2 linked regions of the Drosophila melanogaster genome follow. The protein of the gene in region 2 purifies or fractionates together with the protein of the main gene of each other region. This does not show direct contact. Each region holds a gene or a part of one and is shown on either strand. Other genes may lie near its edges. The genes, in order: Ars2 and Cbp20.

Region 1 (17,104 bases), on a different chromosome or scaffold from region 2:
GTAGTAGAACAACTGTGTATTATGTTGTAAAATTAGATCGTTGGATCCTTTCAAAATTTACAATATAACTTCCGTTCCCTGTAGGCCTTTATTTATCTATTCTTCTGTCCAACCATTCATTTGGTTGGTTTTGGGTGGCGGGAATAATTTCGTTGACTTTGAGCGACAACGTTAATTGAATTTTAAATTTCCGACGGGGACAATGGCGGAGGTGGGCGTTCCCAAACTGCGTTTGCCAGTTATCAGATACAGCAGAGCTGATTAGTAAGCAAACGAGTTCCAGTTAGATCTGGAGCTTGCAAAACATGCAAATGGCGGAGAACATAGAACTCCTCGAGAGAAAATTTATTTATTTAGGTCTTATGTTTAATGGATCGTCGCTAAAGAAACCCCATAATAAATAAGGTTTGTTTCCCCTTCTTTTTGTGGACAGGTCGCGATGATCTCTCGCCTTCGAGCAGCTTGAACGGATACTCGGCGAACGAAAGCTGCGATGCGAAGAAGAGCAAGAAGGGACCTGCGCCACGGGTGCAAGAGGAGCTGTGCCTGGTTTGCGGCGACAGGGCCTCCGGCTACCACTACAACGCCCTCACCTGTGAGGGCTGCAAGGGGTTCTTTCGACGCAGCGTTACGAAGAGCGCCGTCTACTGCTGCAAGTTCGGGCGCGCCTGCGAAATGGACATGTACATGAGGCGAAAGTGTCAGGAGTGCCGCCTGAAAAAGTGCCTGGCCGTGGGTATGCGGCCGGAATGCGTCGTCCCGGAGAACCAATGTGCGATGAAGCGGCGCGAAAAGAAGGCCCAGAAGGAGAAGGACAAAATGACCACTTCGCCGAGCTCTCAGCATGGCGGCAATGGCAGCTTGGCCTCTGGTGGCGGCCAAGACTTTGTTAAGAAGGAGATTCTTGACCTTATGACATGCGAGCCGCCCCAGCATGCCACTATTCCGGTAGGGGTCCATATTAATCATATCAATAAAAAAAAAAATAAAGATCCAAGATCAAAGTATATGCTGTTGGGATGAAAATAGTATAGTCCCAAGATTAAGAGTTATTTATGAAATATGAAAGTAATGTAATACAAGTCTTAAAGTATAGTGGTAACACTATATTATTATAATAATAATCTAACATAGATATAGTCAATAGTCTATAGTAATTCTAATGAAGAATCGTAATCGCGGAAGCAAGGAGCCGAACAGAACAATAAGAGTAATGATATAGTATTATAATAGAAATAAAATATTAGTATAATAGTAATGTAGTTCTAACAAGAAATTCGATTTTTTTAGACTCCGCTCATATTTGTCAAGCAGAATTCCACTTACCCATACTTTTTAATTTCCGGTACAGCTACTACCTGATGAAATATTGGCCAAGTGTCAAGCGCGCAATATACCTTCCTTAACGTACAATCAGTTGGCCGTTATATACAAGTTAATTTGGTACCAGGATGGCTATGAGCAGCCATCTGAAGAGGATCTCAGGCGTATAATGGTGGGTTAGATCGAAATTAACTATATAAATAGAATCTAAATTGATTTCTATGCCTTGCAGAGTCAACCCGATGAGAACGAGAGCCAAACGGACGTCAGCTTTCGGCATATAACCGAGATAACCATACTCACGGTCCAGTTGATTGTTGAGTTTGCTAAAGGTCTACCAGCGTTTACAAAGATACCCCAGGAGGACCAGATCACGTTACTAAAGGTGAGTAGAATCGAAATCACTGGGTACAACCGAAAAGACTATAACTAAACCCATCAACGTTAGGCCTGCTCGTCGGAGGTGATGATGCTGCGTATGGCACGACGCTATGACCACAGCTCGGACTCAATATTCTTCGCGAATAATAGATCATATACGCGGGATTCTTACAAAATGGCCGGAATGGCTGATAACATTGAAGACCTGCTGCATTTCTGCCGCCAAATGTTCTCGATGAAGGTGGACAACGTCGAATACGCGCTTCTCACTGCCATTGTGATCTTCTCGGACCGGCCGGGCCTGGAGAAGGCCCAACTAGTCGAAGCGATCCAGAGCTACTACATCGACACGCTACGCATTTATATACTCAACCGCCACTGCGGCGACTCAATGAGCCTCGTCTTCTACGCAAAGCTGCTCTCGATCCTCACCGAGCTGCGTACGCTGGGCAACCAGAACGCCGAGATGTGTTTCTCACTAAAGCTCAAAAACCGCAAACTGCCCAAGTTCCTCGAGGAGATCTGGGACGTTCATGCCATCCCGCCATCGGTCCAGTCGCACCTTCAGATTACCCAGGAGGAGAACGAGCGTCTCGAGCGGGCTGAGCGTATGCGGGCATCGGTTGGGGGCGCCATTACCGCCGGCATTGATTGCGACTCTGCCTCCACTTCGGCGGCGGCAGCCGCGGCCCAGCATCAGCCTCAGCCTCAGCCCCAGCCCCAACCCTCCTCCCTGACCCAGAACGATTCCCAGCACCAGACACAGCCGCAGCTACAACCTCAGCTACCACCTCAGCTGCAAGGTCAACTGCAACCCCAGCTCCAACCACAGCTTCAGACGCAACTCCAGCCACAGATTCAACCACAGCCACAGCTCCTTCCCGTCTCCGCTCCCGTGCCCGCCTCCGTAACCGCACCTGGTTCCTTGTCCGCGGTCAGTACGAGCAGCGAATACATGGGCGGAAGTGCGGCCATAGGACCCATCACGCCGGCAACCACCAGCAGTATCACGGCTGCCGTTACCGCTAGCTCCACCACATCAGCGGTACCGATGGGCAACGGAGTTGGAGTCGGTGTTGGGGTGGGCGGCAACGTCAGCATGTATGCGAACGCCCAGACGGCGATGGCCTTGATGGGTGTAGCCCTGCATTCGCACCAAGAGCAGCTTATCGGGGGAGTGGCGGTTAAGTCGGAGCACTCGACGACTGCATAGCAGGCGCAGAGTCAGCTCCACCAACATCACCACCACAACATCGACGTCCTGCTGGAGTAGAAAGCGCAGCTGAACCCACACAGACATAGGGGAAATGGGGAAGTTCTCTCCAGAGAGTTCGAGCCGAACTAAATAGTAAAAAGTGAATAATTAATGGACAAGCGTAAAATGCAGTTATTTAGTCTTAAGCCTGCAAATATTACCTATTATTCATACAAATTAACATATAATACAGCCTATTAACAATTACGCTAAAGCTTAATTGAAAAAGCTTCAACAACAATTGGACAAACGCGTTGAGGAACCGGGAGAAAATTTAAGAAAAAAAAAACCATTGAAAATTATGAAATTTAGTATACATTTTTTTTGGGTGGATGTATGTCGCATCAGACTCACGATCAATTCTCGAATTTTGTTAACTAAATTGATCCTCCAAACTGCATGCGAAACAGATCAGAAAAGAGAACAGACAGTAGGGCGTGAACAGAGGGAAGAGAGAAGAGAATAAAGATTGTTTATATTTAAAAAATATATAAAATAATAATTACTAACTCTAAACGTAATGAAAGCAACTGTATAATATCTAACTATAACTATAAATTCGTACTGTAGGGAAGTGAGAAAATCTGTTAAATGAAACAAAAATAATGATAATAACATTATCATCCACCATAATTAAAATCATTTAAAGTAATTAAAAACAAAACACTTTTAAAACACGCAAAACTTGGACTGATTTTATAAATATTTTTTAATCATAAAGAAAGGCAACCTGAAAAAAATATTACAAAAACAAATAACAACATATTTTATTATGACACCCTTATATGTTTTCAAAACGAGAATTTAAATTCTTAGATTCTTATAATTTCATCCAAAAATATTAGCCAGCAAAAACCTTTATTATTGGCATTGTTTTTAGACATGTTTTCAAAAAAAACTTTGATATTGAAACTAAACAAAGGATAATGAAATGAAAGTGATTGGAGTCTTACTCAAAAACCAAAAGGCATCAAAAGGTATTAAATTAAAAATATAATCTAATTTCGAGTTCAAGAAACACTTTTTGGTGGAAAATAGTTTTCAATCACTTTGATAAAAACCACACAAATTAATAAATACATGCATACACCAAAAGACTTCAATATATATTTTTAAAATTTACATTGATAATTCGAAATTTGAATAAGAATCACATCCATCTAATTTGGCTAAATCAAAATTTTTATGAAAGCCACACAAAAAACGTGCAAATTTGATTACTTTGGCAATTTTTATGTTATACAAAATTTATGCAATTGATTTTCAAAATAATTTTTATTAGATTGTATTAGTTTCATTTTGCTTTGGGATGTACATTTTAAATAAATTTTACTTTAAATTGTTGGCCTTATTTTAACTTAAATCAAATTTATTCTAATTTTAGTAAAAAAAAATGTGTTTAAAATTGAAAATAAGAACACTGTAAAATATTAATAAAAAATTAAAGTTTAAAGTGATTCTTTTATTATGTAAAAAGAAGACAAAAAATATCTTACGTAGCTTTCTACTTGAATTGTGCAATTTTTTACTTTTACTACTAATCCTAATTTAAATATAATTTACACACACGCCTACACATCCAGCCACATATTTTTAATTTTAAGTCAACCTAATTTATAAATATGAATTTGTATAATGACGAACTAAAATTAGCATGACATCATGGACATACTTGGAAATAACTCTATCAAACGAGCTAAATGCATTGAAGAAGAAAATTCTTGTTAAATATAGTCTGCACTTCGACAAACGAAAATCAGTGAATTATTTATTCATATTACAAAGACGTTCGTGGGAAGCTCCAAGGGAATCCATGGACTATCCAGGCTCATTAAACTCTTTATTAGTTTCGTTTTTACAATAGGCCTTAGTTAAATTCCTTCTAGCATGCATATTCAAGTACGTTCAATTATTATTATACAAATATACAAAGTTACTTTTATACATACCTTGTTTTGTAGTTCTACACGTAATGTAAAGAAACAAACTATCGAAATACGGATTATTTTTACCTTTTTACCTTATTTCTGCAAGTGGAAAAGAGAAAGCAAGAAAAATGTATACAATATATGAGAAGTATGTTGAAACAAAAATAAGAAAACAAAAAAATATTCAAAAACATAAACCAAAACCTCAGTGTTTTTATTTTCTCAATCCATTTTTGTTATTTCCGTTTGATTTTCGATGGCTAGGGAAAGGATACGAAATAATGGGGTGCGAGTGAAAGACTTATGAGGTAGAAATTCAGAATTTGAACAAAATTTTGCATACGATACAGATGCAAATGGCTGTGAAATTGGCGAGGAACAAAAGGAAGAGATCAAAGCATGAAAATGAATTAAGCAGTTGCCTATATTGTCGAAATTTGGTTTATGATTTATTTCAGTTGGATTATGGATGAAATGCAAGTAAGCTATTTAATAGCCTTCAAGCGTACTGTTTAAGTACCACTAGAGTTTACTAAGGACACGAATGTGGCAGGGAGCGAATGACTTTCCACATATTCCATTCGATTTGCAATTTCGGACCCAAGTCGAGTGTTATATTTAGTGTAAGTGAAGTTTAATAAATACTCTCAATTGACCCTCCCAAAATCTTTCAAATATTATAATAGCACGCCTAAGACTTTGTACATATGCATATATTAATACATATATATATTTATAGCTCTGGCTCTGTAAGATTGAAAACAAAAAATGCGAACAACCAAAATACAAATAATGCAACCTGATGAATTACGAAAATACAAGATTGTATGGTATAAAATAGCAATTTGTTGACAGATTCATTCATATAAAAAGATTAAGAAACAACAAACACACAAAGCTAAAGCTGAAACGTAAGAAAATCGTTATGTAGATTTTTGAAATTCAATGTGTTTAATTTTTATGCACTGTTTTCTGTTATGTGTAAACTCGTAACTTGTTTTGCCCCAATACCTAGACCTAACTATGTAGAACCCACGACCACGACCGTGTACACACCCTGTAACCCTAAGAGAAATTGATTGACACTCATACTCGTACACTTACAAGCATTTTGTGTTCAACTTGTAGATATTGATCCTGAATTGAAAAACTACCTCAAGCAAAACAAATGATGATTAAGCAGAAGGGCAACAGATGTTGGGTGATGGAAAGGTTTTAAGCATTATAAAAATAAATGTAACTACAAGCGAGACCTTAGCAGCAGAGCATGAGCAGGAAAAGAACAAAGTATATACACTCAAGAAAGCTATTATTTCTCTTATACGAATTTGTTTCCATCGCACTTTTAGCCCACGATGACTTCGTTTTGAACTTAGAACGCACAAGCCTTGTTAAAGCTACCTGGTTTGCCGCTCATAATTGCCTAGCTTTAGGCGTTATCAGAACTACGTATGTATAATCGGCGACGTTAAACTTCAGTTTTACTTCTTTCCATTATCATAACCCAAGCTGGACAAAAAGAGAAAGCTTTTTAAATCGATTTGAGTTAAATAGCTGAGTTTTTCTCACTGCCAAACCGAAAATGAGATATAATACCAAGTAGTTTGACTAAGTTATCGAACCGCAGCCATTTTCAAACTTAGCGTAAAAAAGGGGAGAAACCATAAGTCTAATTTCATTTGCAATGTCTAGCAATCAGTAATATAATTCTAAATTGTACCATTAATACCCACGAAATATATACAATTATAACAACCACTTCAAGATACGATTTCGAGTATATCTTTAAGTCAGTACCTATACGTATATTGATTGACAACGCACACAATTGCTAGACACAGATCTTAGCGAGTAAAATCATTTTTTCCGGAAATAGAGATTTTAAAAAACAAATAAAAAACTGAAAACTGAATTGATGGCATTTTAGTGTAACGAGAAATACAAAAGAAAGTCGATAATCTAATCAGCAAAGTTACAATATTGTGAAAAAAGCCCATTACACCGCAGATACGTAGAAAAAAATAGTAAATTAATTGGTGATTTGACAGATCGCCTAGAAATAGTTTTCTATTTCACTCGCATTATTATTTACATGCTACACTGCCAGAAAACTTTTACTTCACCTTTTACATTAAGCAGCAGTAAGTCGATTAGCAAATTGCAAATTCAAATCGAAAGCAATTCGAATTGCAAATCGAAAGCAAATTTGTTTCAAAAACTTTCCATGTCTCGCATATTCCTTATGTTGCCGTATATCGATTTTGATAAAGAGAGAGAAGTAGAGATTGTTAGCATTTAAATAAACTAGCAGTGAATCGTGCTTTTCTAATTTGAATGGACTTCACATTAAATACACCAGAATGGTAAAAACTCCATATGCAATACATACGGTGCATGGAAATAAAGCTACATGCACCTACATACTTACATAAATGGATAAACCTGATATTATATTTAAAATTCTGATTAATTTAAAGGTATGTAATGCTCTAACGATGTTACGTCATACACACTTTTATACTTTAAAATTAAAGCATTATGTTAAGTTGGTGGACATAAGTAAGACAGCTAATATTGTCGATTATATGCAGTTAGTTGTCGAGTAGGATATTTTTGAGGATCAGGCCAATTGTCAAAAGTTTAATCTAAAAGTAAGGGCGCAAAGATTACATTTTTAATACTAATTTCTTAATCAATACATTAATTTAGAACTAGATACACATACAATTTGCATAGTTGTATAATTAAGTTGTAAATATATATATATATATATATATATATAAACATAAATCTAACAGAAGTCTATATATACGATATATGAAAAGTGTAATAAAATAAAAACGATATATTTAAATAACTTGTTTTAGTTGGGTATTTAAACAGGTTGTTCAAGGAGTAAATGGTAAAATATCATCCTCAAATAATATTAGCATACAGAAGAATGCGCTTATTTAATATATATGTTAATATATTTTTCAGCATGAACTATAGCAACGTATGTCTTTCACTTTCCACCTTTCAGTCCACCTTTTTATCCGTTCAGTCTGTCCGCATGAACGCCAATATTTCGAAACTATAAGTTAAAAGGCTTTTGATTCTAGTGACACCTATGCTGATCCATCCATTTATCCATGTAAATCTATCCATCTATTTCCATATAAAGACACCTAAGTCCCTGTATGATTAATGACGTCAGAGATTCGCAACTTACATGCACATACACACATAGGCACCAAATTGAACTATTATTTCGTTATTGCATTCGTGCAGGTACATTGGCATCTGAGCAACTCACAAGAAACTAACCGGTGAATCAGAAGACTATGGTAGAAGACTACTATACTATAAAAAATGACGATGATAAAATTCAGCTTTTTGTTAACATATATAGGCTTAAGCAAAAATTTAGCATTAGTGGAGTTTTGTCGCTTTTAATTGATAACTACTTGATATTCGGTATGCCATACCGCATTTATCATTACTTTACACCAATACATACAATATTGTTTTTATATTTTATTAAAAGCGAAAAAATGCTTAGTTTACGTAACGTCAAATATGTATAAGTTCTAAGGTTACTTTGTTGTTCAATTTTTTAAATTGTTTATTATTTATTACTTCACCTGTTACATTTCGCAGCAGTAAGTCGATAAGCAAATCGCTTCTTTATTTCAAAAACTTTCAATTTCTCGCATATATATTTTATTGCCGTGGAGTTATGTCGCTTTCATTTTACTATTTTACTATTCTATTTTATACTATACCATCTTCTATTGTTAGTAATTTATCAGGTTGCACTATTTGTATTTGGTTGTTCGCTAGAGCTATAAATATATATGTAAATGTATGTATTATATATTCTTGTATAAAACTAAACAATTGAACATTACACACTTTTTATAAGTATGCATTTTTGTATGCACATTCATTTAAAATTTTTAATTAGATAAAACTATATGCCATTACGACAAATATGTTACAAAAAAATAGGCTCTGTTACAGTTAAGCCTGGTTTTTAGTTATATAAAGTACATGTGGTTATTTACTACTATTAGTTTGGTAAATATGAAAGTTTATTTAAGCAAAAAACATTGTAATATTTCCTATTTTTAACAAATGTTTAATAACTGGAATGTCAATCAATCAATGTGTCTATTTAATGTTCTGACAATTTTACTTTAACTTCTTACTTATATAGAAAATTCACAAAGTTGTTATTCAATTTAATGTTTCGGGATGAAATATATATATTTTACCTAGGTTCCTATACTATTTAACACAAATAGTGCACTGGGTTACTTTTTACAAAGACACTAGAATAATAATAATAATAATAATAATAATAATAATAATAATATTCTAGAGTCTTTGCTTTTTACCTATACTACGGTTGTGTTTTCGATCGATTGACACGGCAAGTTCTGAACTACATGGGAATGTTTGGTTCGCTCTTGATTCGAGTATTCTGAGCATGATTCGATCTTGGAAAGATTTTGAGATCAAAATTCTTAAATCGAGATCGTTGAGAACGGATTTTTCTCTGAGTGTTGAGCAATTAATACGGTTGAGACAAAGGCACTAGAATAAAATAGTGTCTAGAATAATTCTAGTGTCTTTGGTAAAGAGAAGGCAAACCCCAAGAAAAATATATAAGAAGAGTTACTCGGAATGTGGAAGGTTGGTTGACGGAGAAATTTGGAACGGCGACAATTGTCGCCGACAATCAACTAAATTTTGGATTGTCTTTTTTTTAAACAGGTATATTCTCAATTGGATTATGCCGAGTTTACTTTTATGATTTTGATCATTGCCATGTTGGAAGGTGGATAGGTAACAAGTTACAGTTCCTTGAAGACTTATGGGACCAACAGTCCAGCCACCTACGGGTTAATCAACACGGGGATAATGTGTGGAAACATTTATCGATAATTTTACAAATTAGAGGGATATAAAACAATTTGGTATATTTTCATTTCATACCTGGAAGGTATATTGCGTTGCACAAAAGCGGTCACACTAATTGATAGACGCAAAGTTTTAAGTAAAATTTGGGTTTAGTTAGGCAAAGGTAATTAAAAATGATAAAGGAGCGAAAAATGTAACAAAAAATGCCGATATGTTGTATTCTACGCTCTTTTATCGATTTTTTAAAATGCATTTCTCATTGTCCATTCGATGAAACACGTAAGCGGTTGTAAGCAAACTGACAAGATGGCGGCCACATCTGCTTAATTGAAAATCGAAATTAAATACGATATAACTAGCCTGCCGACCCAAATTGCAAACGGTTTGGAGCTGTTGTAATCATAATATTTGAAGCCCTTACCGGCACATAAGTGAGGTTAAGCACAAGCGACTTTCATCTATATTACTTGCCTTCGTTGCAGACCAAATGGGTGATTCCGACGATGAGTACGACCGCAAGCGACGGGACAAATTCCGCGGGGAGCGCGAGAGTTACCGTACGGAACGCCGGGATGACCGCCGGCCGGTGGGCGGCTCTGCCGGTGCCCGCGACGAGTGGGCGGAGCGGTAAGTGAAGGTCACCTTTCAACTATTACATGACATCATTACTGGACGTTTCAGCAATCCGTTCAGGGGCGGAGCTTCCGCAGGCGGAGGAGGAGCTCGCCACAGACCAGACTACAGCGACTACCGTGGCCCGGGAGCTAGACCACGCTATGGGTCACCCGTCCGTGATTTGCCCCCAGCCAAGCGTATGCGCCCGGACTGGGGGGACGGCGATGTGCGCGCCAATCCCCGCTTTGGGGGTGAGTTCTACTAGACTCCAGGCTTTTCAGACTGCTTATCGAATTCTCTTTCTATAAAGGCTATGATCCGTATTTGATGCAGGCCTGGAACGACCACTACCAGTCGATGCATTCGGCCTACTCCCACGGTGGCCATGCACCACCTGTTCGGGAGTCCATAGGCGGCGGCGGAGGCGACACCCTTACCCAACCAGCCATGCTCAACCTGAAGCAGTTTCTCGACACCCAGGACGAGAACATTTCTGACTCGGAAGTGATGCGCAAATACACCGAGTATAAAACAGACTTCAAGCGCCAGCAGCTAAACGAGTTTTTCGTGGCCCACAAGGATGAGGAATGGTTAGTAGCTGGCCAAAAGTGGATCAACGACGGTTTTGTTGATATCTCTGCTTGTGCCGGCGCATTGCGTTATTTGCCGTTCTTCTGTTCGCCACTCATAACTTTCTATATATTAAGTTTTTCCCTGCAGCTTATTGGGTTTGTGAGATAAAAACTTCTCTGAGAGATTCTGCGCCATAGCAGAGCTGTTGATTGAGTATAATTCATTAATTACCCGGCGAGCAATGCCGAGGTGTGTTCATATTTCAAAACCGCGATTTATTTAAATTCGATTGACGAACAAAAGCCTAAATAAATATAAAACAATCCCATAAATAACGAAAGCGATAAGCTTGCAAGGTAAGATTTTGGGTGATAATTCAACAACAACCTATCTAAACAGGTGAACAATTTACCGAATCCACTATCAACAGCCGGGCGAAAAAGAAAGAGAGATGAAATTAAAACAAGGATTTTAATTACTGCAATATTAATAACCATACTATTTTTTTTAACTGCAGGTTCAAAAACAAATACCATCCAGAGGACAGTGTTAAACGCAGCGAGGAACAGCGGGGCTTCCTTCAGGTTTAATTGTTTGCTTCCCTTACCGCAGAAACCGTAACCAAACTTACTTATTGCAGAGGCGCACTGATGTCTTCATGGAGTTACTCGAGAACGGAACAATAGGAAGTGTGAAGGTGGATTCTTCTCAGGCTGATGCTCTGATCCGTGTTTTAGATACATGCGTTATAAAGCTGGAAGGCGGCACTGATGAGGACCTCAAAGTTTTAGACGAAAAACCCAAGGATCCAGTAGTGTACGAACGAAAGGCGGAGCAGATGCAATCCGTCAAGGAGGTGGAGAAAACAATTAACAGTCCCAAAGAGGAGATGAGTGAGGCAGATCCGGTGTCGACACAACGGAAACCTGTGAGGCCTGTTAATTCTGATGGGGAGAACTGGGATGATGACGATGCAGAAAATTCGGCGCCAAAAAAAGAATTGGCCGAGGATTCAAAAGACAGCGATTCCAAGCCTGAAGACAAACAGTTGAACAAGAAAAAGACAAAAAAACGCAAACGCAACAGCAGCGATGATGACAGCTCCTCATCCGAATCCAGTTCTAGCTCAGATGAAGAGAAACTTAAGGAAAAGTATGATGTGGAAGATGGCCTTAGGGCCGAACAAAAAACCGAGGCAGAGAAGGACAGACAAGAAGCGACCAAAGCAAAACAGGGACCTCAAAGTCCCAAACTGGACGAGGACGAAGGTAATGAAAATACTGAGCCCAAAGGACTAGACTCAAAAATCAATACTTACGAGGAGATTGACAATACTTTGAAGTCACCTGAAATATCTTCGAATCCAATTAAGAACACGGATAATGGAGACGGCAGCAAAGTAGAAGAGGATGGAGAGAAGCCCTCTGTTGGTAAAGACAAGGTTGTCGAAACCGAGACTATTGATCTAGACAAAGTAAAGGATGGCCAGCCTAGGGCTCTGCATAGGACCTCCTCCATCTTTCTGCGAAACTTAGCCCCCTCGATAACTAGATCAGAGATCGAGGCCGTGTGTAACCGTTTTTCCGGCTACTTAAGGGTGGCCATTGCAGACCCCTTGGTGGAGCGTCGTTGGTATCGTAGGGGTTGGATAACCTTCATGCGAGACGTCAACATTAAAGAGATTTGCTGGGGTCTAAACAATCAGCGACTGAGAGACTGTGAAATGGGAGCTATCGTCAATCGGGACCTCAGCCGACGGGTACGTCCAGCCAATGGTATAACTGCGCACAAGCAAGTAGTGCGATCAGACATTAAACTGTGTGCCAAGATTGCTTTGAATCTGGATGAGAAGTTCAGATTATGGGCAGAGGGGCCTAAAGATGATTCCAATTCCGCCCGAGCGAACGAGTCCTCTGAAAATGGCAGCGGATCCACGTATGGCTTCAATTCACAAAACCCGGTTCTGCAAAACATCACTGATTACCTTATCGAAGAGGCGTCAGCTGAGGAAGAAGAGCTTCTCGGCCTTACCGGCGAAAACAAGGACACTGAGGGCGAGCCCATTGAGCGTGACGAACAACTTATATCCGTTCTTGATCGCCTTGTGCTTTACTTGCGTATAGTGCACTCAGTAGACTATTACAACCATTGTGAGTATCCATATGAAGACGAGATGCCCAACCGCTGCGGCATTATCCATGCCCGCGGTCCACCTCCTGTTCGGGTGACCAACAACGACGTGCAAGAGTATATCAAGATATACGAAAGCAAGTTGCAACAGTTTCTTACTAAGACTGTGCCACTGAGTGACGAAGAGATTAAGAATCTTGGAGCCAAGGACGCCGAAACGGAGGTGGAAAAGTTTGTGCAAGCGAACACTCAGGAGTTAGCCAAAGACAAATGGTTGTGCCCCCTATCGGGTAAGAAGTTTAAGGGGCCCGAGTTCATCCGCAAGCACATCTTCAACAAGCACGAGGAAAAGGTCGACGAGGTGCGCAAGGAGGTGCAATACTTTAACAACTATCTACGCGATCCTAAGCGTCCGCAACTTCCCGAACATCCAGGCACCTCTAAGCGTCCAGAATCGGAATCTGCTCGTGGAGGTGGTGGAGGGTGAGTAAAACATTTATTCCCGTTGCACAACAAATAAGGGTAATTATTTAATTTTGTTTCCAAAATGTTAGATACCGACCGCCCATGTATCCACCTTTTTCGGCAATGCCCTATGGTTTTGGTCCACCCATGATGGGTGGTGGCCGTGGAGGACGCAACTTCCCTCCCGCGCGCAGGTTAGTACTATACATAAATTTCTATAGTGTAGATGTGCAATTCTCGGCAGTCATTCCCGACATTTTTGAATAGATAAATTTAAATTTTATTGATCGATTTGTCCAAGAATCGAAGACGATCTTTCCTTGGAGTGCTAAAGAGAAACGTGCCGAACACATGATTCCACTTTCCACTACAGCGGATAATACAGTTCCGACGAACATACTCGAACACTGATAGCATTTAGGAGACTCTATCTTGCCCTTTTTTTTACTTTTTCTCTTTTGTTGGCCTAAATTGAAATTTGTCACAACTTTCTTGTGTCGCAAATTTTTTGCAGAGAATTGCCTTTGGAACACCAGCGCCGGCTTATCGGTTACCATGATTTGGATGCGCCTGCCAATTCTGATATGTTTGACTAATTGATTAGCACAATACAAATAAAAACAGGCCATATTGATGCAGCTTATATCGGTTGGCGAGCTCAAGTTTTAAATGCAATTCAAGCAATGCTAGGAAAAGTATCTACTGCATATAAAGATGGTTTATATACGACTAATGATATCTGTTTTCCTGTACAATGCTAGAACCTACCTTTATTGCCCAAAATAAATGAAAATCCATAGCCTAAAAGAAAACATTGTAATATTTTGTATCTCTGCCCTATCCATAGTCTTGCGTGAATAATTCCAATATCTATATTCATTCTCGTTGCTTGCAGACCCGGTGGTTTTGATTATCGACCCAGATCACACTACCGGGACTTGGACGCGCCGCAAGAACCATACTAGAACTAGCTGTGCGGAGAACACAAGCTAGATAAATTGTATCAAATTAACTGATAAACACTCAAACACTCTCTTAATTTTCGCCTGTTTTGTACGGTCAACTTTTGTATTCCACAAGGAAATAAAGTGCGAAAAAAAGCTTTTTGCTGAGTTTTTATTGGGTTCTATTGTTTTTCCCTTTGTAAACAGAGAGCGCGTAGTATAACGTACGGCAATGTCTAAACGAGATACACTTAAACACATAAGTTCTCTTGGCTAGCCCCGAAAGACTGGCATTTGGAGAAACGAGCTAAAAATAAGAACGCAATCGCCGGCGTGCTGAGATCAGAACGTCAAAAAGAAAATATCCCTTGCCAACGTAACATTGTGGTGCAGTTGGTCCCAGTGGACCAGGAGAATAAATGGTGTCAAGCACGGAATGTCCTGTTTGCGGAGTTGCTGCCTCACAAGCGTGCACTAGGTGCAAAATGGTGCGATACTGCGACCGAGAGCACCAGAAGCAGCACTGGCCGCAGCACAAGCGCAGATGTAGGCCATTCAGCGAGGAGCAGGATGCCGAGCTGGGCAGATATTTGAAGGTTACCCAGAACATAGCAGCCGGGCAAATAGTCTTCATTGAGGAGCCCCTAGTGGTGGGTCCCAAGTGGTATCTCTCCGACGCAGACAAGGAGGCCTCTAACGTTCCGTGTGTAGGCTGTTACACTCCGTGCCGTCTGGGGAAGCACCAGTGTCGAAGGTGAAATATACTAATAAACATAGTCTATCATCCATTTGAACAATGTGATTTCCAGATGCCGTTGGCCAGTCTGCAGCGCAGGCTGCAAGCACGAGTCAATGGAATGCAGCGTGCTTAGCCTCGGATCGGGTTCACCAACTCGGGCAGATGCCCGCTCATTGAACGACTACTTCAGGGGCGATGCTCTTTTGGTGCTCAAATGCCTTCTGTTGCAGCGACAGAGTCCCACGAAATGGTCCGCGTTGTTAGAGATGCAGTCTCATGAGGAGGAGCGTAAGGGCACCGATCTGTACGAGGAAGCAGAGAAGCGAGTAGTGACCTACCTTCAAAAGCGGTTTTTATGTAGACTTAAGCAAACTAATCCAAACCTTCTGACCGATTGTGGACCAGAGATGCTGCATCGGCTTTGCGGCATCATCGAAACAAACTTTATGGTTATCGAACTCCCGAGTGGCGTGGAACTCAGCGGGTTGTTCCGGCAGGCCTGCATGATGGAGCATGCTTGTCAGCCCAACTGCGACTTTCAGTTTGATAACAAGACTCAGCAAGTTGCTGTGCGTGCTGGCTGTGACTTGCGAAAAGGCGACCACCTACGGATTACATACACAAATATCCTATGGGGCACGCAACTTCGCCAGCACCATCTTCGACTAACGAAGCATTTCAGCTGCCGCTGCAGCCGCTGTCTCGATCCAACGGAATATGGCACCTATATAAGTGCGCTGACTTGTCTGGGGGATGTAAATCAGACCTGTGGAGGAACCCACTTGCCCGTGGATCCACTGGACGAGAACACACAGTGGAAGTGCGACACTTGCCCAATGATAGTGGATGGAGCTTACGTGGCTGAACTGCAGTCCCACATGACCGAGCAGGTGGAGGGCTTATTAGCCGGATGCCCCTCCGCGAATCAGGTGGAACTTCTGTTGGCCCGCCTGACCCATATGTTGCATCCAAATCATTTTCACACGTTCAACCTAAAGCACACATTAATCCAGCTGTATGGTAACGAAGCTGGCTTGGAGTTGGGCGTGCTGAGCAACACGCAGCTGGAGCGCAAACTGAGGCTCTGCGGTGAGCTCTACAACGTATGCCGGCGACTGGATCCATATAGCATTAAGCTGGCTATCTATGTCACGGTCATCCTGATCGAGGTCGCCCACACGCTGCAGGAGCAGGCACGAAGGGCACCAGCAGAAGGAACTTCCCTCTTGGGTCTTGCGCAAAGCCGTCTTAGGGAAGCGCATATGGTTTTGGAGAAAGAGCAAGAATCAGTTGCCGGCAAAAAGCTAAACGAAAAATTGCAGATGGAAATCTTCGAGTGCGAAAAACTAATTTTAGCTCTTGCCTATAATCAAGATCACGAAGCCAATACAAAATAATTTTCTAGATCGGCGAAAGTGGTACAAGTGAACATTTTGAACACCGGATGCTGTTAGGTGCTGTTAAAACAAATCACACTTTGTTAAAATCCAATGAAGCGCCGTTCAAAAGAAATTGTAAAACGAGACTAGGAATCTTTTCAAAATACACATTTTTGTTGGGTTGCTTATAAAAACTATAAGATATATATAAAATAAGATTTTAAAATAAAAACATGTGCGCTATTTTTGATTCTTTGGAAAAATCCGCTAGATAACCGGGAAAACAGCTATAAATATCTATTTCCTACTGAACCTAAATGTCTTTGTAGAGCTATAATTATATAGCTTATTTTCAAATTTTACCTATTTCTCTTTAAATTACCAACTGCGTGACCATTGAAATTCACAAGGTTTGGTATATGACACATTTCCTGAAAAAAATCACTTCTTAATGATATTGAGCACCG
Region 2 (16,783 bases):
ACTAAATGTATTAGCTTCTAGCGTACAATGTAAATAAAACTTTGATTAACAAGGTACTTGAATTGTTATTTTTTTCTTTGAAACTTAGTTATCGTTATCCAAAAAGCTAACACAATTAGTGAAAGTTTGGAAGAAAGTGTAAAATTTGTGGTTTGTACTTGGAGGTGGTGATGTGGTTATGTTTTGGGTTTTCAGATCGCTGGGTGTGTGTGTATGTGGACAAGACCAAGCTGCAAACCTTGCTGGCGGCGATGGAGCTGCTGGCTGCGTTGTTGGTGGCGGTGGATGAGGAGGAAGCTGACGAGGAGGACGCCGCCGAGGCAGAGGATGCCGCAGCGGCTGCCGCCGATGCTGCGGCGGATGTGGCCGCCGAGAAATGTTGTGCCAAAGTGGACACAAGTGAATTGCTGCCGCTAGCAGCGCCCGTTGACGTTGTTCCAGATCCAGATCCAGATCCTGCTCCTGCCGCGTTCTTCGACATGCCGGCATTCGAGGATAGCGAGAGCGAAGAAGTGGAGGACTGCGATCCAAATGGCGAGGAGGCAATCAGTGCAGCTGCAGCCGAATTCGCTCCACCACCGTATGTGGCGGCCGAGGATGAGGCCGAGGAGTTAGCAGCCGCCGAGGCTAGCGAGGATGAGGCCGCCTGTGAAAGCGAGGACAGGGCCGAGGCCGACGAATTGGAGCTGGTGGACGAGGACGATGGTGAGGAGGATGTGGTGGGTGCTCCGGATCCGGCTGCTCCTCCTGCTGCTGCCTCTGGCGGTGAGAGGGGCGTTTTCCGCCCCTCGAACTTGGCCTTTAGCTCCTCCACGCTGCTAAACCTGAATCGGCTGCCGGTCTGTTGCTGCTCCTGCTGCTGATCCTGCACCTGATCGTCCAACTCGTCGTCGGCCAGCTGATCTAGGCCGCTGTGAAACGATGGAGATTTGGGTATGCGTATGCCGAGGGCATAATACCCGGCTGCAATGGGCTGCGTTTCCTGCTCCTTGCTGGAGGATTTAATGGGCGCCGGTTTCTTTTGCTCTTGCTGCTGCTGTTGCGATTGCTGCTGCTGCTGCTGCGGCTCCTGCTGATGTTGCTGTTGCTGCTGTTTGGGACCTTTGAGCCCGTTGCCCGTCAGCAACATAGCACCGAAGACCATCTCATTAGTGCCGGCACTTGGAGCAAATGGCACTCGGTTTTAATCTTGATACGGAACGCTTGTTTTTTTTACCAGCCGCCCCCGCCGACCAACAACAACACATGAGAAAGACTACACTAGAAACTCAATTTGGGCACGCTAAGTATGAAACTATAGAATCTGTAATGGAATTGCAATATAGATAATGGTTTAGATTAACGCCAAATGCGATTATGCGCTGATGGTAACACAAAACGAAATGAAATGCAATTGGAAATGAAAATGGAAATGACAACGCCTCTGCTAAAATTCTTCTTTTGCCTCACAAATGGCCATAATTACGTGGAAAAACTTACGGTTCGAATGGGAACAAATGAGGGAATAGGATAGGAGAGCAATTAACTTGGGAAACGAATATTTTCAACTAATATTAAAGTTTTCGGGGCACACGACGTTCACGGTCTTGAAACGGTTTTTTTTTTGTTGCTTCGACTGCTGCGCCAATCGGAAAAATCGATATCGAGAGAGAATGAAATGGAGAGAAATTTGGTGAGCAGCAGACAGAGAGAAAATAAAGAGAGAGAAAGTGGGCTGGTGGGCGAGCGAGCCACAATAACAATAAAACCTAATAAAATAAAATAGTATTGAACAAGCGAAATTTGTTTATTCGATTTGTGAGTCGAAACCGCCCAAGCAATTAGCAGAAAGGTATGTGAATAACGCAATGCGATGACATTCATGCTGCACAGAAAAAAAAAGTGTAGCAATTTCATAATCATTACGCGCAGATATGTACATATATGATTTTCAAAAATATTGAATTTGCTTTTTTTTAAATTAATTCCCTGCAGGATACAGTTTTTCTAATTATTTGTATACACAAGTTTAAATCAATCGAATACATTTGTGTCATAAAGAAATGCCGGTGTATATATGAAATTTAAGACGGTCTGAGAAATCCTCTAACGATGCTTTCTCCCAGTGTAATGAGAGGCTGCGGAGAGAGCGCATGTGTTGAAATTCCGGTGAGTGAGAGAGGTGGAGAGAGGTGTGAATTGATGCGGCTGCTTGGTTCACATGTGTGAGTGGCCGTGCGTCAGTGTTGCCACCCACCTAATCAGACGACACTCCCTTGACCTTTAACTTTAACAAATAATAAACAAATTACAACAGCTGAGCGAAATTAATCAAGCGCCGGCCAATCAATATTCCCAACAAGCTTGCAGGTCGTAGGTACACTTTACAGAGAATGCCTCTTGTAAGTTAAAGCTGAACTTATAATCATGGAAATTTACCGGAGTTAATTGACATAATATATGTAATTATGCATCGTTAATGGGAATTACTACGATTTATACAATCTGTTTTGAGTGTATAGTTGCATAAAAACTTAATTGACGATGTTGGTAGACAGTAAGAAAGGTAATTTTATATCGCCTAAACGGAACCCTGCCCTAAAATGTATGCTACGACATGGCTACGACCAAGTTCTACCCCATGCAACCGATCTGCAGGCTTAAGAGATATCGATCTGAACAGCTGGCAGTACATGTATTATAAAGTAATATACTAAGTAGTAGGATCTACTCCAAGGCTACTCACTCTCGTTTAGCGGAATGAGGGCCGTCAGTTCGCAGTTCTTGGAGGCATTGTACCGGGCGCTGGTCTGGCGCTTCTCCTTGCGAACGATCGGGGTGCCGGTGATGTTCAGGACCTTGCTGATCGGCGTGGGCGGCGGTGCATCGTACGGTGGTGTGTTGTCCTTGAGTTTGTTAGCCTGCAAAGGGGCATAAATGACACTTATCTGATTATCTTTTCCCATGTCAACGGTTTGGCTTATGCTTAGTAAATGAAAATAATTTTAACAACGAATGCAAAGCAATATGCGGTCAAATAAAAAGCATACTCAAAACGTAGCACTTGCAAAATCAGAGCAAAGCAGTTCAGTTCGGGATGGTCCCTCGCTGCCATTTTGGCCGGCCATCGCTTTTACCTTGGACTGTGCGAATCCTTGACGCCTAAGTTGAGCTGCCTGTGGGTGTGTTTTAGTCTGAGTTTAGTAATGCCGAACATTGAAATGTGCTCTGGGATCAGGAAGCTGGAGTTCCGTAGGCTCTCCATACACGTATAGGATTATATTGCTGGCATCTACCAGGGAATCAGGTGGTGGCATATATGTATATATTTTCCAGGCACTAACATTTATGTATTTTTTAAAGCATTTCATTGGGCAATTTTTTGGCAGTTTCAAAAAGCAAAGTGCTCGCCTTATACTTTATGTTTTATTGCAAATGTTCAATATTTTTGTCGTTGGAGAGACAAAAATGTAAAAAATTTTCATTAAAAGTTCTTCTAGTTAATAACAGGCATGTGAGTATAAAGATTTGTATAATCAACTCCGTCTTTTGTTGACACAAAACTTTCGGGAAATCGTATAAAATCTAGGATTTAGGGCAATCTATTCATTCAATCGCAAAAGTCTTATCAGAAAGTAGAACCCAAGGTAATATAATTGAAACGATAACGATTTGTAAACCAAAATTGAAAAGCAATAAAGATTGCTAGATTACTGTTACCACTTACAAGGTCATTAAATGCTATTTATATCGTTTGTTAAATAAAGAGTATTTCCTCTATTTAAAGAAATAATTAAATGCATCATATTTCGTATAAAAAAACTTATGAAATTAATTAAAAAATCATTTTTTAAAATTAAAAAAATTAAAATCTAATAAGTTTATCTCTCTAAGGACTAACGAATTGGTCAAATTGGAGATGAGGAAAAGGGGGAAAGTGAATATCGGTTTGTCAAGCACTTGCGATACAATTACGATTCGATTTGTTATCCGAACGACATACACTCATTTAACAATTGGCAACATTGTGAATCTAATTGGTGTTGGTCAATCTAACTTGAATCGTGCGGGGTAAGGTGAAGCAGCGATACAATAACACACATCATTAGCACTGATTAGATAAGATAAGGCTTAGGCACACACACAAATGCACAGTGTGCGTGTAAGCATTACGAGTGAGGTTTACGTTACGCCAAAATAACGGTAGGCATGCAAATAGGGCGACAAGTGAAAGACAGGGAGAGATCGTAACAGAAACAGAGAGAGACTGTGGCTTAAAGACAGCAAGAGAAAGAGAGTGAGTGAGGGAGTGTGGTGGGGAGGGCTAGTGTTTTGGGGGAGAGCTACTCACCAAACTGCTCAATGGAGGAGTGCCGCCGGTCACCACGATTGTGGACGTTATTGCTGGAGCTACTCCTTCTACAGTTGTTGCTGCCGCTACTGCTGCTGCTGTTGTTGTTGTACTTAAGTTACTGTTACTCTCTTTGATACCGTTAGTGGCCGATGCCGGTATGACTATATTGTTGCTGCTACTACTGCTGATGCTGCCGCTTGTGTTGCTATTGTTGTTTGTGGCCGTTGTTTCGTTTTTTGATTCTGCCGCTGAGGCTGTGGCCGCCGCGATTGTTGTTGTGGTTTCCACAACTGAAGATGCTGCTGTTGTTGTCGTTTCTGATGCTGCTGCTGTTGGCGTCGCTGCCGACGTACTGCTTTTTATTGTTGGATCTAACGCCTCGTTATCCATAATACGCAATCGGTTCTGACTCTTTTTGGCTCTTTGGATGTGCTCTCCTCTATGTGTGTTTTTGGTTTTTTATAACGATTTTTTATTTTTACAAAATATAAAATACGTATGAAAAGCAGCGAGAACGAGAGAAAAAAACGTAAACAACCGGACAAACAAACAAATACAACAGGCCGGGCTGGACCGCTCTCAGTTGATTGCTATCTGAAAATTATATTTGCACTGTGGAGGGTCGAAAGAAAAAAATTAACGTAGCAATAACTAAAGGAAAAATAACAATAGCATCACAACACACCGTGCAATTAAGCCACAAAACAACACACTCAAGCAGACACACACACACACACACACGCATTAACATTCGCATTCGAGGGGCGCTCAACGTAAATTAAGGGTTTACTGAAATCTACCACGAATCTTCTCATCACTACTATTCCTCATTTGTTATGCAACTTCATGGAAATTCCAATACTGTTTCTTTTCCCTTTGATCACTGTACAGTGGAACGTGCATAACTCGAATTATCTATATATTACATAAACACGCTGCTATTAACTTAACCATAACTGTAAACAACACATTACCAATGGGAAACGGAGCAACCTTTAAGAATCTCTCGCTGCGCGCTTTCCAATTGGAAATGCCTTAATGGCGGAAAACCGCTTCGTATCGGAGTTCCTAAGTTGTCACAAGATGTCCCCACAGAACCGCGATCATATTCTCATTCTCTAGCATAGAAAATCCGGTTCTAAACGGTACCGAAAACACGTTCATGCAGCGTTCCTCCGATTAGTGCTGTAACTTCCAAGTGGACAGGTGTTGTCGGTGATGTGGAATTTCGGATTCCCATTTAAATGTTAGCATCAACACTTTATGCAGGTCTTCAGGCGTTTCATTGTTTGGCATTGTTCATTTCGCATAAAACTATACTCGAAACGAAAATAAGTAACAAAAATGCCAAAACACTGGCGCAGAGAGAGCGTACTTGAAAAGAGAGTAGAGAGAGAGAGGAGAGCAAGCGAGACGAGCAACAAGTTGAGAAGCAATGGCCGTCGACCAATTGCCAGGGTTGCCAGACATGCCAATAGAAATGGGGAAGGAAGAGCGCTTTTGGGTGGTGTTGGTGTTTTTCAAATTTTTTTTTCATTTCTTTTTGGAGGTGCAAGGATGGGCAATCATCAACACAAGTATTGTTGGGGCACCCAGCAAGTACTCATAAGTTTTGTTGTTGCAAGGAAGGGGTGAAACAGAGAGGGAGAGAGACGGAGACAGTCGAGAGCGTAAAAGTAAAATGTGTACTAGGCACGATTAATAGTTGTAGTTGCACTTCCAAGACTCAAACACACAATTATTATTAAATATATATATATTTATATATATATATGTGCACATATATAAGTGGGGAAACAAATATAACTTTGAATGTCAAGGGGCGAGGTTAATTTGTGGGTTATATTTTCAGAGGGGGGTTTTTAATGGGTCTTATTTCGCCAATTTACCGCCAGAAGCTGCAAGAACTTGTTCAATTTGGCCCTGCTGCGATATAGGTTCGCCAACATCAAGTTCACTGCTGATAAAAGCTAGTTCTTTGCGTAAAATGCGAATTCTAACAAAAACGCTTGCACACGCACACAGAATCACAGCACAGCGCACACACACACACGCACACCCCGCTCTCGCGTTAAAATTCAGTCGTCGAGGCTACACGAATTATTTGCGCTGCAATTTCTTCGATCGCTGCGATTCGCTTCGATTTTCGCGTGCGAATTCCACAAGGCTCGCTCGCGAATTTCACACCCAATAGCTCGGCGGTCTATCGGCACCGGGGTCAAGTTCACCTTTTCGCTTAGAACGCACAACATCAACGCTCTGTGCAATTGTAAATAATAATTTATGTAAACTGTCTTATACACGCAACGTTGTCGGTGCTCAATAGAAAATAGAGTTACCAGGGCTGCAGGCGTGCGGCGGCGTTGCCTGACCCAGCCGACCCTCGATAGTTACTTTTAGGAAGATTTTACCGACTCCGTTTAAAAGCTAAAACGAGCTTTTGCTTATGCTATTTACTTATTTATATTTACTATCTTTATACCTTACTCTCCTCTACTGTCTTATTGCCAAATGCGAAAGACTTAAAGATCATTATTAATTATAATAAACCGAATGTTTACAAACTGTTATTTAATTGTTGATCTCACATTATTCTTTAATTTTGTAAAATAATAACTTCGAGTGGTTTTCGATAGCTTGTACATAATTTGTGCTAGCTGCATTAAAATATTAATAATTTTAAATAACATTTGGCAATTTACAAGAATCATATATATGTACTATATATTAATATAAGGAAATATTTTTGTAAATTATATATTAGCAAATATTGCGGCACTTGTTTTACAAACCAGGGCCGCTTGGCCTAATGACACTTGGTGGCAATACAGGTGGCAACGCCAAAGACAGATTGTTTATATCGCTCGACTTCTCGAGTTTGACTTTTAATTTTTTAATAAATTTTACGGCAATTGCTATGCAGATAACAATCAAGGTGCTGAAGGGCAAGGACTGCACCATCGAGGTAAGAATGAACCTTGCCAAAATCAAGTGAGGTCGCTAATATGGTAATATTTCACACAGGTGGCGCCGACATCGACGATTCTGGAGGTGAAACACCAGATCGAGGCGGAACTGCAGATATCGGCTACAAATCAAAAGCTACTGCTGTTGGGGCGACCGCTTAACAATGAACAGACAATTGCGTCATATCCCAACATCAAGGAGGGCACCAAACTCAATCTGGTGGTGATAAAGCCCTGTTTAAGGGACAGCATCCTGCGGGGATTCCGCAAGCACTATTCGGAGCCCCTAGCTGAGCGTATGACCAATGAGTTTATGGCCGACTTCGAGCGGAAAATCAACGAGCAGAGCCTGGACGACCTGGAGAGACTGGCGGACAGCATAGTCAACAGAGCGGCCACATAGCGCCATTGAAGACCCAATACCAACCACCACCACCCCCTCCAAAAATATGATGGAAGTCTATCCTTACAGCATAATATTTTTATTTCCCCCCTTTAAAAAAACAAACTAACTAAAAAATATGAGGTAGTAAAAATTAAGACTTGACTGAAAACACACGGCCCATATTCTTTTTTGCGACGGTCTGGCAACGCTCCACCGGCCAGTTGCAGTCTTTGGCTGTGTGCGTGCGTGCCTGTGTGTGTGAGAAGAAGAAAGAGAGGAGAAATGCGTGTGCTGTCGTGCAAATTTCTTGGCCGAGTTGTTAACTCCGCGCTGCCCCAACAAATCATTTCACTGCGATCCCTGTCCAAAACCAGTGCAGCTATGGTGAAAGTAAGTGCAGGTTGACCGGCAAACGCGGATTTCCGGCTGTGCGGCAGTCCGGATTCCATTACATAAGCCGGTGCCGAGCTGCATAAATATTGATTGCGGCGGCACCCAGAAATTACAGCGTTTCAAGGTTATCGCCTCCATCTTGCTGCCTCTTTTCTCTAAGTACGCCTGTCTGCCTCCCACTTTATTTCCAGGTAGGAGACTCCCTGCCATCGGTGGATCTGTTCGAGGACTCGCCAGCCAACAAAATCAACACCGGCGATCTCGTCAATGGCAAGAAGGTGATCATCTTCGGCGTTCCCGGCGCCTTCACTCCAGGCTGCTCAAAGGTGCGTAGGTAGCATAGTTGCAAAGTCATCTGCTTTGAGTTTCCGAATATTGTAGAAACTTCCAGCAGTATAGTGTAATTTATGCAGCTTATGTATTCCAACTGAATAATGCATTTCCCCACACCCACAGACCCACTTGCCCGGCTATGTGAGCTCCGCCGATGAGCTGAAGTCCAAGCAGGGCGTGGACGAGATTGTCTGCGTTTCGGTCAACGATCCCTTTGTGATGTCCGCCTGGGGCAAGGAGCACGGAGCCGCGGGCAAGGTGCGCCTCCTAGCTGATCCCGCCGGCGGTTTCACCAAGGCCCTGGATGTGACCATCGATCTGCCACCACTTGGCGGCGTGCGCTCAAAGCGCTACTCGCTGGTGGTGGAGAACGGCAAGGTGACCGAGCTGAATGTCGAGCCCGATGGCACCGGACTCAGCTGCTCGCTGGCCAACAACATTGGCAAGAAGTAAATGGAATCCAGTCAGCCCGAAAACACTAGAAACTCATACATGCTAATGCTAGGCCGCAATGATATCAATTACGTCTTCAAAAGAACTATGTAAAACGTACAATATATATGCGATTAGAGATGTTATGTCTAAGGGGTATGCTTTAATATCTAATTGGGGGGCTTATAGTCTTTACAGTCATTTTATCTAATAACTAGCGATTGTCCGTGTTGGGTGCAATCTTCTGTGACAACAGTTTGCCATAACCCCCGCGGCCGGCATCGTAATCCGTGCGGTATTCATCTCGCACCTGTCCGCCGGTTTTGCCGCGTCCATACTGCCTGCCCTCCACGAAGCCGGCGTCCCAGTCCACACGAATCAGACGGTCGTCCAAGCGAGTGCCATTCACAAATCTTTTGTGGGAGAAGAAAAGAGTGTTGAAGTTAGTTAAGAGATAATGATACCCCATCTGATTACTTCTACAAATGCCGGAAAAAAGGCGGCTTTTTCTAGCGTGGAGAGATGGATATGGCTCACCTCATGGCCGCCTCCGCCTCCGATCGGACATAGTACTCCACGAAGCAGAAGCCGCAGGGCGTCTTCTTATACTTGTCCAGGCCCATCACAATCACACGAACATCGCCGCAGCGGGAGAAGAGCTCGTGGATCTGCTCCTCGGTGGTGTAGAAGCTCAAGTTTCCCACGTAAAGTGTACACGAGTCGCGGAGCGATCGCTCTTGCTCGGAGCGCGAGCCCTGCAATTGGTTTATTGAGTCGGAGATCTGCTGTGGCGCCTTCGGATGTACTCACCTTGAAGTGCTGATCGCGATATGAGCTTAATTCCACAGATGCGAACATATTTTTCAGCTACAAACTATTGAAATATTTTCTCTGCTTTTATTTAGTGACGGCACTCTATTGACTGATACTTCGATAGCACTTTGAAATATGAATCGGTGAGCTAGTGCATAAAAAGTTTACTGGGTAGCAAAAATATATTATTTTAAAATTCGTTGTATACTTATATATCAATTTCTCTCATGGCCCTAACGGGAACTTATTCTTTAAGCTTAGAATAAAAATCATTGCAAATATTAACCATGTTAATATAATATAAACTAAGCTGTTACTTTAGGCGATAGTTCTGTACATTCGATACACACACTGTTTACGTTTGGGTATTTTCGGCACGCGTTAGTACATTTTCATATAACTGCTGTTTCACCCCGAAATTTTGTAGCTCGTTGTTATTGTTAATTTTATGGACTCCGCACACCGTACTTAATGAACGCCACACTCAATTCCGCGGGCGGCAAGCGTCAGCTGCGCTTTCGCGGCGACGTCACCGGCAGCCGAGTGGAGGAACTGCATCATCAGCAGCAGGAGGAGCAGAAGCAAAAGGCGCCGCTCGCCCAGGATGACGTTGCAGCGACGCCGACTGCGACGCCGGCAGCGGGCTCAGCGCAGCAGCGACTGCAGAGCGGTAAACACGGATTTACTGATTGGAAAAACATTCTTTTGAATTATTATTATTTAGTTCTTAGGATGACATTTACGTTAACTAATTTTAATTGGGTTTCGCGCTATTTCATAGCAACTTTACTTTTGATCATAACATACACATTTGCCTTAGATTTGATGCTATATTTAAAGTTCTAGAGAGATTTTTAATTAACTTAAATTCCAGATAAAGCTCTTAAAAACCTAATATATCATAATTTGCAATTTTTGAAGTTGTTTTAACTAAGGATAAGGATGTATAATCAATGATTTGTAATCAATCGTTATCTATTTTACTTAAATCATTAGAATCTATGCATATACTTTATATTTGATTCATACTTATCATTCATTTTTCTTTTATTTTTGCAGGAACCGCCGAAACCTGCACAAACACATTCTACGACTTCTTCAAAGTGGAGATGACACGCGGCTATATGCTGGAGCACGACGAGGAGCGCTATTCGGCGCGTAGGCAGAAGATCTACAGCTTCATGCGCATACCGCGGGATCTGGAGCGATTCATGGTGTACGGGATCATGCAGTGCGCCGACTCATTTCTCTACATTCACACTTTTCTGCCCGTCCGATTTGTGATGGCCGTTTGGGCCCTAGTTTCCAGGACGGTGGCAAGAATCTTTCGACTACGCAGCAGCGGACAAAGGCTGCTATCGCCGGCGGAGATCTGTGATCTGCTGAAGGGCGTCATCTGGATGACGGTGACGCTGATAATGCTCCTGGTGGACACGAATCGGGTGTACCACATCATCAAGTCACAGTCGATCATCAAGCTGTACATATTCTACAACATGCTGGAGGTGGGCGACCGGCTGTTGTCCGCTTTTGGTCAGGACACGATCGATGCTCTCTTCTGGACGGCGACAGAACCAAAGAATTCCAAGCGAGAGCACTTTGGAGTGCTTACGCACGTTCTCTTCACGCTAATCTATGTCTTCTTGCACAGCGGACTGATCATGTTTCAGGTGAGTAATGGTAGCTTTATAAACCACATTTTCTCTGTGATTATATTGGTTTGGTTTCTAAACTATTCCTTCAGGCCACCTGTTTGAATGTGGCGGTGAACTCCAACAACAAGGGCCTGCTGACCATCATGATATCGAATAATTTCGTGGAGCTCAAGGGATCCGTGTTCAAGAAGTTCGACAAAAACAACCTGTTCCAATTGACCTGCAGCGATGTACGAGAGCGATTCCATCTGTCTGTGCTTCTGTTCATTGTGGTCATCCAGACCATGAAGGAGTTTGACTGGAGCATCACCCAGTTCTGTGTAATGCTGCCCGACTGCTTTGCCGTGCTGTTCACGGAAATTCTGATCGATTGGGTGAAGCATGCGTTTATCACGCGATTCAATGAGCTGCCGGAGAGCATCTACAGGGAGTACACGACCAGCTTGGCCTACGATATGACCCAGACGCGGCAAAAGCACGCATTCTCAGATCATTCGGATTTGGTGGCCAGACGCATGGGCTTCATTCCATTTCCGCTGGCTGTGGTCCTGATAAAGGCCATCTATACAGCGGTCTCTTTCGAGAATCTAGCCGCCTGGCTGCTCTTCCTGCTGGCCTACTTGTTTGCCATGGGCTTGCGCATTTGCCTGACCATCTGTGCGCTGGGCAAGGCCTGCAAGCTAATGAAGGAACATCAGACCGAGCGCAACAGTTCTACACCGAGTAGCATGACCAATGTGCCGGTCATAGGCGCAGCTGCTCCTGTCTCAGCGGCTGCGACGGGCGGACAGAATCACAATAATAATAATAACAACAATAACAACAGCATTAGCATTGGCTCGAAGCCAGCCCAAGTGACCACACTGTTGACCCCGCCCAGTGCTGGCCATCTCGATGTGAGTAAGAATTTCTCGCGCACCTCAATCGCATCCACATCCACGCCAAAGAAGGCGGTCAGTGAGCAGGAGCTGGACGTGACCAACTCCCTGGAACTGGGCGCCACAGCTCTCTTCTCCAACAGCGATGTGGATTTGGACGATGTTTGCCTCAACGAGCAGGTGACCAACACCAATACCAGTTCAGCCGTCCAGGAGGTTTACCAGGAGCAGGACCTGGTGCGCAGCCAACCGGATTTGATGCTGCTCAACAATTCCGGCGACGGAGTGACAAGTGCCAAGGCTAAGAAGGCCACCCAGCGATTGCCCAAGCGAACGCACAAGCGTTCCGAATCGGAGCCGGGCATGCCCAGCATGGTGGAGAAGGGCGGAGCTGCTGGTATTGCGGGAGGCAACCAAACGACACAGCTGTAGCCATAAATCGATGCTAATTTATTATTATATTTGATTTTATCCTATACGTAGTTGCATTGTTTGATCTTTTAGGCGGCGCTTAGTTGCTCTTTTTCGTATAAGTATAAGTGGAGAACTGGATTTGAAAAATGTACTTTAGATCGTAGCCAAAATTATGTTCGCCCTGGAATATCGAACTGTGCCTCAATATCCTTAAGATGGTGTGTGGTACCATGGTATTTCTATGAACTTTATAAATTCGTTTATTGCGATGTCACATTTTGGCTGTTTCCGAGCCCTTGCAAAATAAAAACACTCAATAGCTTTTGTCCAAACTATTTGTTACCACTAGGTGGGGTGATCCATTTTATAAACTTATTTAGTTCACTATGGAATAATAGTAGAAAGTTAACTTTGCTATTGTACATAACATTCTATAAGAAATACAATATTAAACAGTTTCGATTATTTATTTATGACAAATAACTTATATTTTTTAATGGATTCAACTTTGGTATGTCAATGATATGTCCACGGATGACCATGTAACCAGGAGGACTTTTCGTGGTCAGACTGCTGGGAAATCTTGTAAATTGTGGATACAGGTGGCTTAAATACAGGCAAAGGACAAAAACTTGGCGATGTTATGTAAAAATATTACTCATACGACACGTTACCATCAGATTGTGTAATAAATACTTTTCAACTTGGCAAAAATCGAATCTAACTGAACGGAATTTAAAACATAAAATCTATGTGACGTACACAACAATTTCATTTATTTTACAAATACGCATCATTTAACCAATAACCTTTAACATTTTCAAGTTAGCAAGATTTGACTCCCAGCTGAATGAAAGCCAAGCTAAACTAAGTTTACCACAAATTCCTAGGGGCGAAAATTGCTTTCAGCTTAGCGCGAAATTGTTTTCTGGACGAGCTCCACCCAAAAATCTTTGGGATCAGAAGTTTGGAGCATCCCCACAATCCTCCCCCTGAGTTGGATTCATGAATGAAATGGTTTCCCACTTTGTTTGTGTTTGCACGCGTAGAAAAATCAACAAGCTGCAAATGGAGTGCTCACTCAGGCCCAAATCCGCGCCCAACATCCAGCTCTAACCTCCTGTCCCCCAACCATGACCACCTTCTGGGAACTTACACGCGCCATGGATATATATACATGTATATCTACGCCGCGGGGCGTATCAGTTTTATGAATGAAATTTTACGCTGACCTTGGAACAGCGCATTGTGGTTGCGTCAGTGGCCGGAAAAAATGGGGAAGTTTTCGCAGTGAAATTGGAGAGAGAACATTTTCCCCTTTGGAAAATTCGCACATTATGGTGCGCAAACTCACCGAAATGTGTCAACTTTTCTCCTCGCTGGCCGTTTTCATTCATGAAAAGTTCGGCCAACTTCATGAATGGTCTTTCCCTTTTTCGATTTCAAGGACACGACGCTCCTGCGGAATGGCGTCCTTATCGATTTTCCCTCTCGCATTTATGTACATTTTCACATTCGCTTATTGCGTGGGCGGAAAATATGTTTTTTCTTCTTGTTAAGCGTGATTTTTGAGCAGATTTATTGCTGTTTTGTTTGACTTCTGTTTAAAGTCGAGTATTTATGTGATTTTTTATTTAAATTGTAGCATTTAAGATTGAATTGGGTTTCCGTATGGAAAATTCAAGCTTTATAAGAGGGGAAGTACTTAAAAATGTTACTTAATAAGAGTGTGAAATTGATTTGTTTATACAAAAGCATGGCAGCAATAATCATATTATTAAAATAACCCCGAAAAGTAGGCCATAGTATTAGCTTCACCTGGCCAAACTTTTTGATCCACCGAAGTTTGTGAGTTTATAAAACTAATTCTAAACATTCAGACTTTCTAATCATATTGCATAGTTTATGAGAGGCATAAGGACATCCTTGGTCTGGTCTAGAAATAGCCTTGAATGTGTCCACATGTCATGTGGACCAGTTTTTTTTTATGAATGAAAAAAGCACCACACCCAGGAGCACCGGGGCAATGCTTCACCTTGCTCTTGACTGCCGCTTTGCCCCAAACATCATAGTACATATATCGATTGTTCGCTTTAACTTTGGACCTGCGCACTAGCAGATACAGATACTCGTACCAAGATACATAGATACTATAGATACGCGTACTTATGTAGATGTTTTGGCCCCAGCTGCTTATCACTGGCACATTGACGACAATGAGCTTTATATGATGCAGAGACCGAACTGTTGCTTCCCACTGACGTCATGGGAATGCTGATGATTAGGGTTTCTTGCACCGAATGTAACCAAAATCCAAAGGCTGCATAATCACCGAGAAAAGCGATGCGAAGTTTTGTTTATCATGTAATTTGTAGTTGTATAAATGAAGTTAATGATAAAATATCAGATATCTGTGACTCCACTGTGGGTAAAGTCCTGAAACCAGTCGAACTGCTCCAGCCAGCGTTGCATCACGCCGCCAAAGACGTACAGACGCACTGGAACGTAGTCGACCTCTTCGTTCACATCGTCGGAGGAATTGGATGACTCGCGTTCGTTATCCGAATCGTCATTCGACAGAAGGACATCCAACGCAATGAGGCAGTGCAGCAGATAGATAACACTGGACACCAATGAGGCTGTCGCCTGGTCCCGCAGGCTACCGAAGAACGGATGGAGCGGCTTCTCCGGATATAGTAAATCATCCGGGTTCCTTCCATCATACCATATATAGAAATCCGTCTCGGCATCGCCCAGTGCCATCAACGATATTACCGTATATAGAACAAATCCGATCAGAGGACGCACAACTTCCTCAACGATCGATGTGCGATGACCGGTGCAGAGATTTATGCTGGCAAAGAGCGTTACCACTGTGAATATGTAAAAGAAGGACATATAAAAGCTTTGGATTAGAACATCTTCCCATTTCATCGTTGTCAGATTGACGAAAACAAATGCTTTCAGTTGGTAGTACAAAACGAATAAGTTGGCCGTCGTCTCCACCATGTAGAAGAGAAAGAGCACCGGGCGCATTTGATACAAGTAGACCCTCATTTCTGCAGTCGCTTCGAACGCTTGACAAAACTAACTACAATAAGTCTGTGCGACAGGTGTACTATGTTTGAAGTGAAACGCTTTAATTCCAGCTCAAAAATTAAAAAAAAAAAAAAATAACAGAATATGTAGAGCCAGGAACTAAGCTCAAGTCAATTTGGTCAAAAAGATTTGGCTAAAACTACATAAGCGGCCCAAACGAATGGTCAAAACGAACTGACTAAGATGAAAGACCAAAACGAAATAACCAAAGCAAGACAAAAACGAAATGATATAACGAAATTAATGGCCAAAACCGAATGACCAATACGAAATGGACAAAATGCCATAACCTAAAGCAAATGGTCAAAAATGGTCAAATGATCAAACGGAAGGAGCAAAGCGAGGTAGTTTCGAAAGAGCTTCATTCTACTAATTTACAATTTAATTCAGATTCTTGAAAATATGTTCATTTATAAGAGTCAAAACAGTTAAAACAAATAAGAAATGTATAGGCCATAGGTCTGCTACAATTTGTTAATGGTTTACATTCTGCCCAAAGGGTTTCCACAAAATGCACTTTGTACCCGGAATGTACATATGTATGTACATACATATATGTAGTTCCCATTAGCGAACTCGAAAGACACGCTTTTGTTGTAGCCTCGGTTTCTTTCTCGGATGGAAAGTGCTGCTTTGGGCTCGGCTCATCTCGTCTGATCATAAAAAACCACTTCACTGCGGCGGTTGGTGCTTCTGTTGCTTCGTTTGCTTCTGTTGGCCGGACGGACTGCGTCTGGAAACAGTAGCAACATTTGCCTGCCAGTTTGATGCTGTTGACTGCTGTTGACGGCGATTACGTTGATGACGCGCAGACCGCAACGAATTTACGCGCAATTCTCCACCGTGCTCCAAACTTCAAGCTCCAAGCTTCAGATTCGGCTCCAGCTCCAGCTTCATCTGAAGTGGCTACGGGGTGGGGGTAAGCATTTAAATAAATGTTTGTACACACGAGCCGCTCATGAAACGCCAAAAAGTTAGTACACTTGTACAGGAACAATTGAATTTTGGATGTAATATTTAATTATGTACTTTGGTCAAATAGATTGGTGTAATCATAGGACCTAAGCTAACTTTTGATTTTT

Evidence for each region.
Region 1: the proteins of Cbp20 (region 2) and Ars2 purify together in Drosophila melanogaster (affinity purification with western blotting, with the first as the bait; one study listed by BioGRID). This does not show direct contact.

What each region holds. Positions count from the first base shown.
Region 1 is NT_033778.4:6,078,401-6,095,504, reverse strand, and holds Ars2 (arsenic resistance protein 2), read left to right. Parts: upstream 1-9,879; 5' UTR 9,880-9,955; intron 9,956-10,068; exon of another isoform or gene 10,069-10,274; 5' UTR 10,275-10,279; coding exon 10,280-10,419; intron 10,420-10,473; coding exon 10,474-10,658; intron 10,659-10,717; coding exon 10,718-10,997; intron 10,998-11,114; coding exon of another isoform or gene 11,115-11,148; exon of another isoform or gene 11,149-11,336; intron 11,337-11,497; coding exon 11,498-11,564; intron 11,565-11,620; coding exon 11,621-13,593; intron 13,594-13,664; coding exon 13,665-13,769; intron 13,770-14,089; coding exon 14,090-14,171; 3' UTR 14,172-14,470; coding exon of another isoform or gene 14,471-14,540; 3' UTR 14,541-14,677; downstream 14,678-17,104. Other genes in the region: EcR (ecdysone receptor), read left to right, coding at 434-948, 1,352-1,495, 1,556-1,708, 1,772-2,917; SmydA-5 (SET and MYND domain containing, arthropod-specific, member 5), read left to right, coding at 14,939-15,273, 15,329-16,655.
Region 2 is NT_033777.3:18,157,646-18,174,428, reverse strand, and holds Cbp20 (cap binding protein 20), read right to left. Parts: upstream 9,769-16,783; 5' UTR 9,701-9,768; coding exon 9,653-9,700; intron 9,598-9,652; coding exon 9,380-9,597; intron 9,256-9,379; coding exon 9,057-9,255; 3' UTR 8,990-9,056; downstream 1-8,989. Other genes in the region: wrd (well-rounded), read right to left, coding at 239-1,144; CG7215 (uncharacterized protein), read left to right, coding at 7,251-7,298, 7,358-7,702; Prx5 (peroxiredoxin 5), read left to right, coding at 7,967-8,074, 8,269-8,403, 8,534-8,863; CG7218 (uncharacterized protein), read left to right, coding at 10,127-10,325, 10,715-11,325, 11,400-12,620; CG14315 (uncharacterized protein), read right to left, coding at 15,006-15,659. UniProt on the Drosophila melanogaster protein: Component of the cap-binding complex (CBC), which binds co-transcriptionally to the 5' cap of pre-mRNAs and is involved in various processes such as pre-mRNA splicing and RNA-mediated gene silencing (RNAi).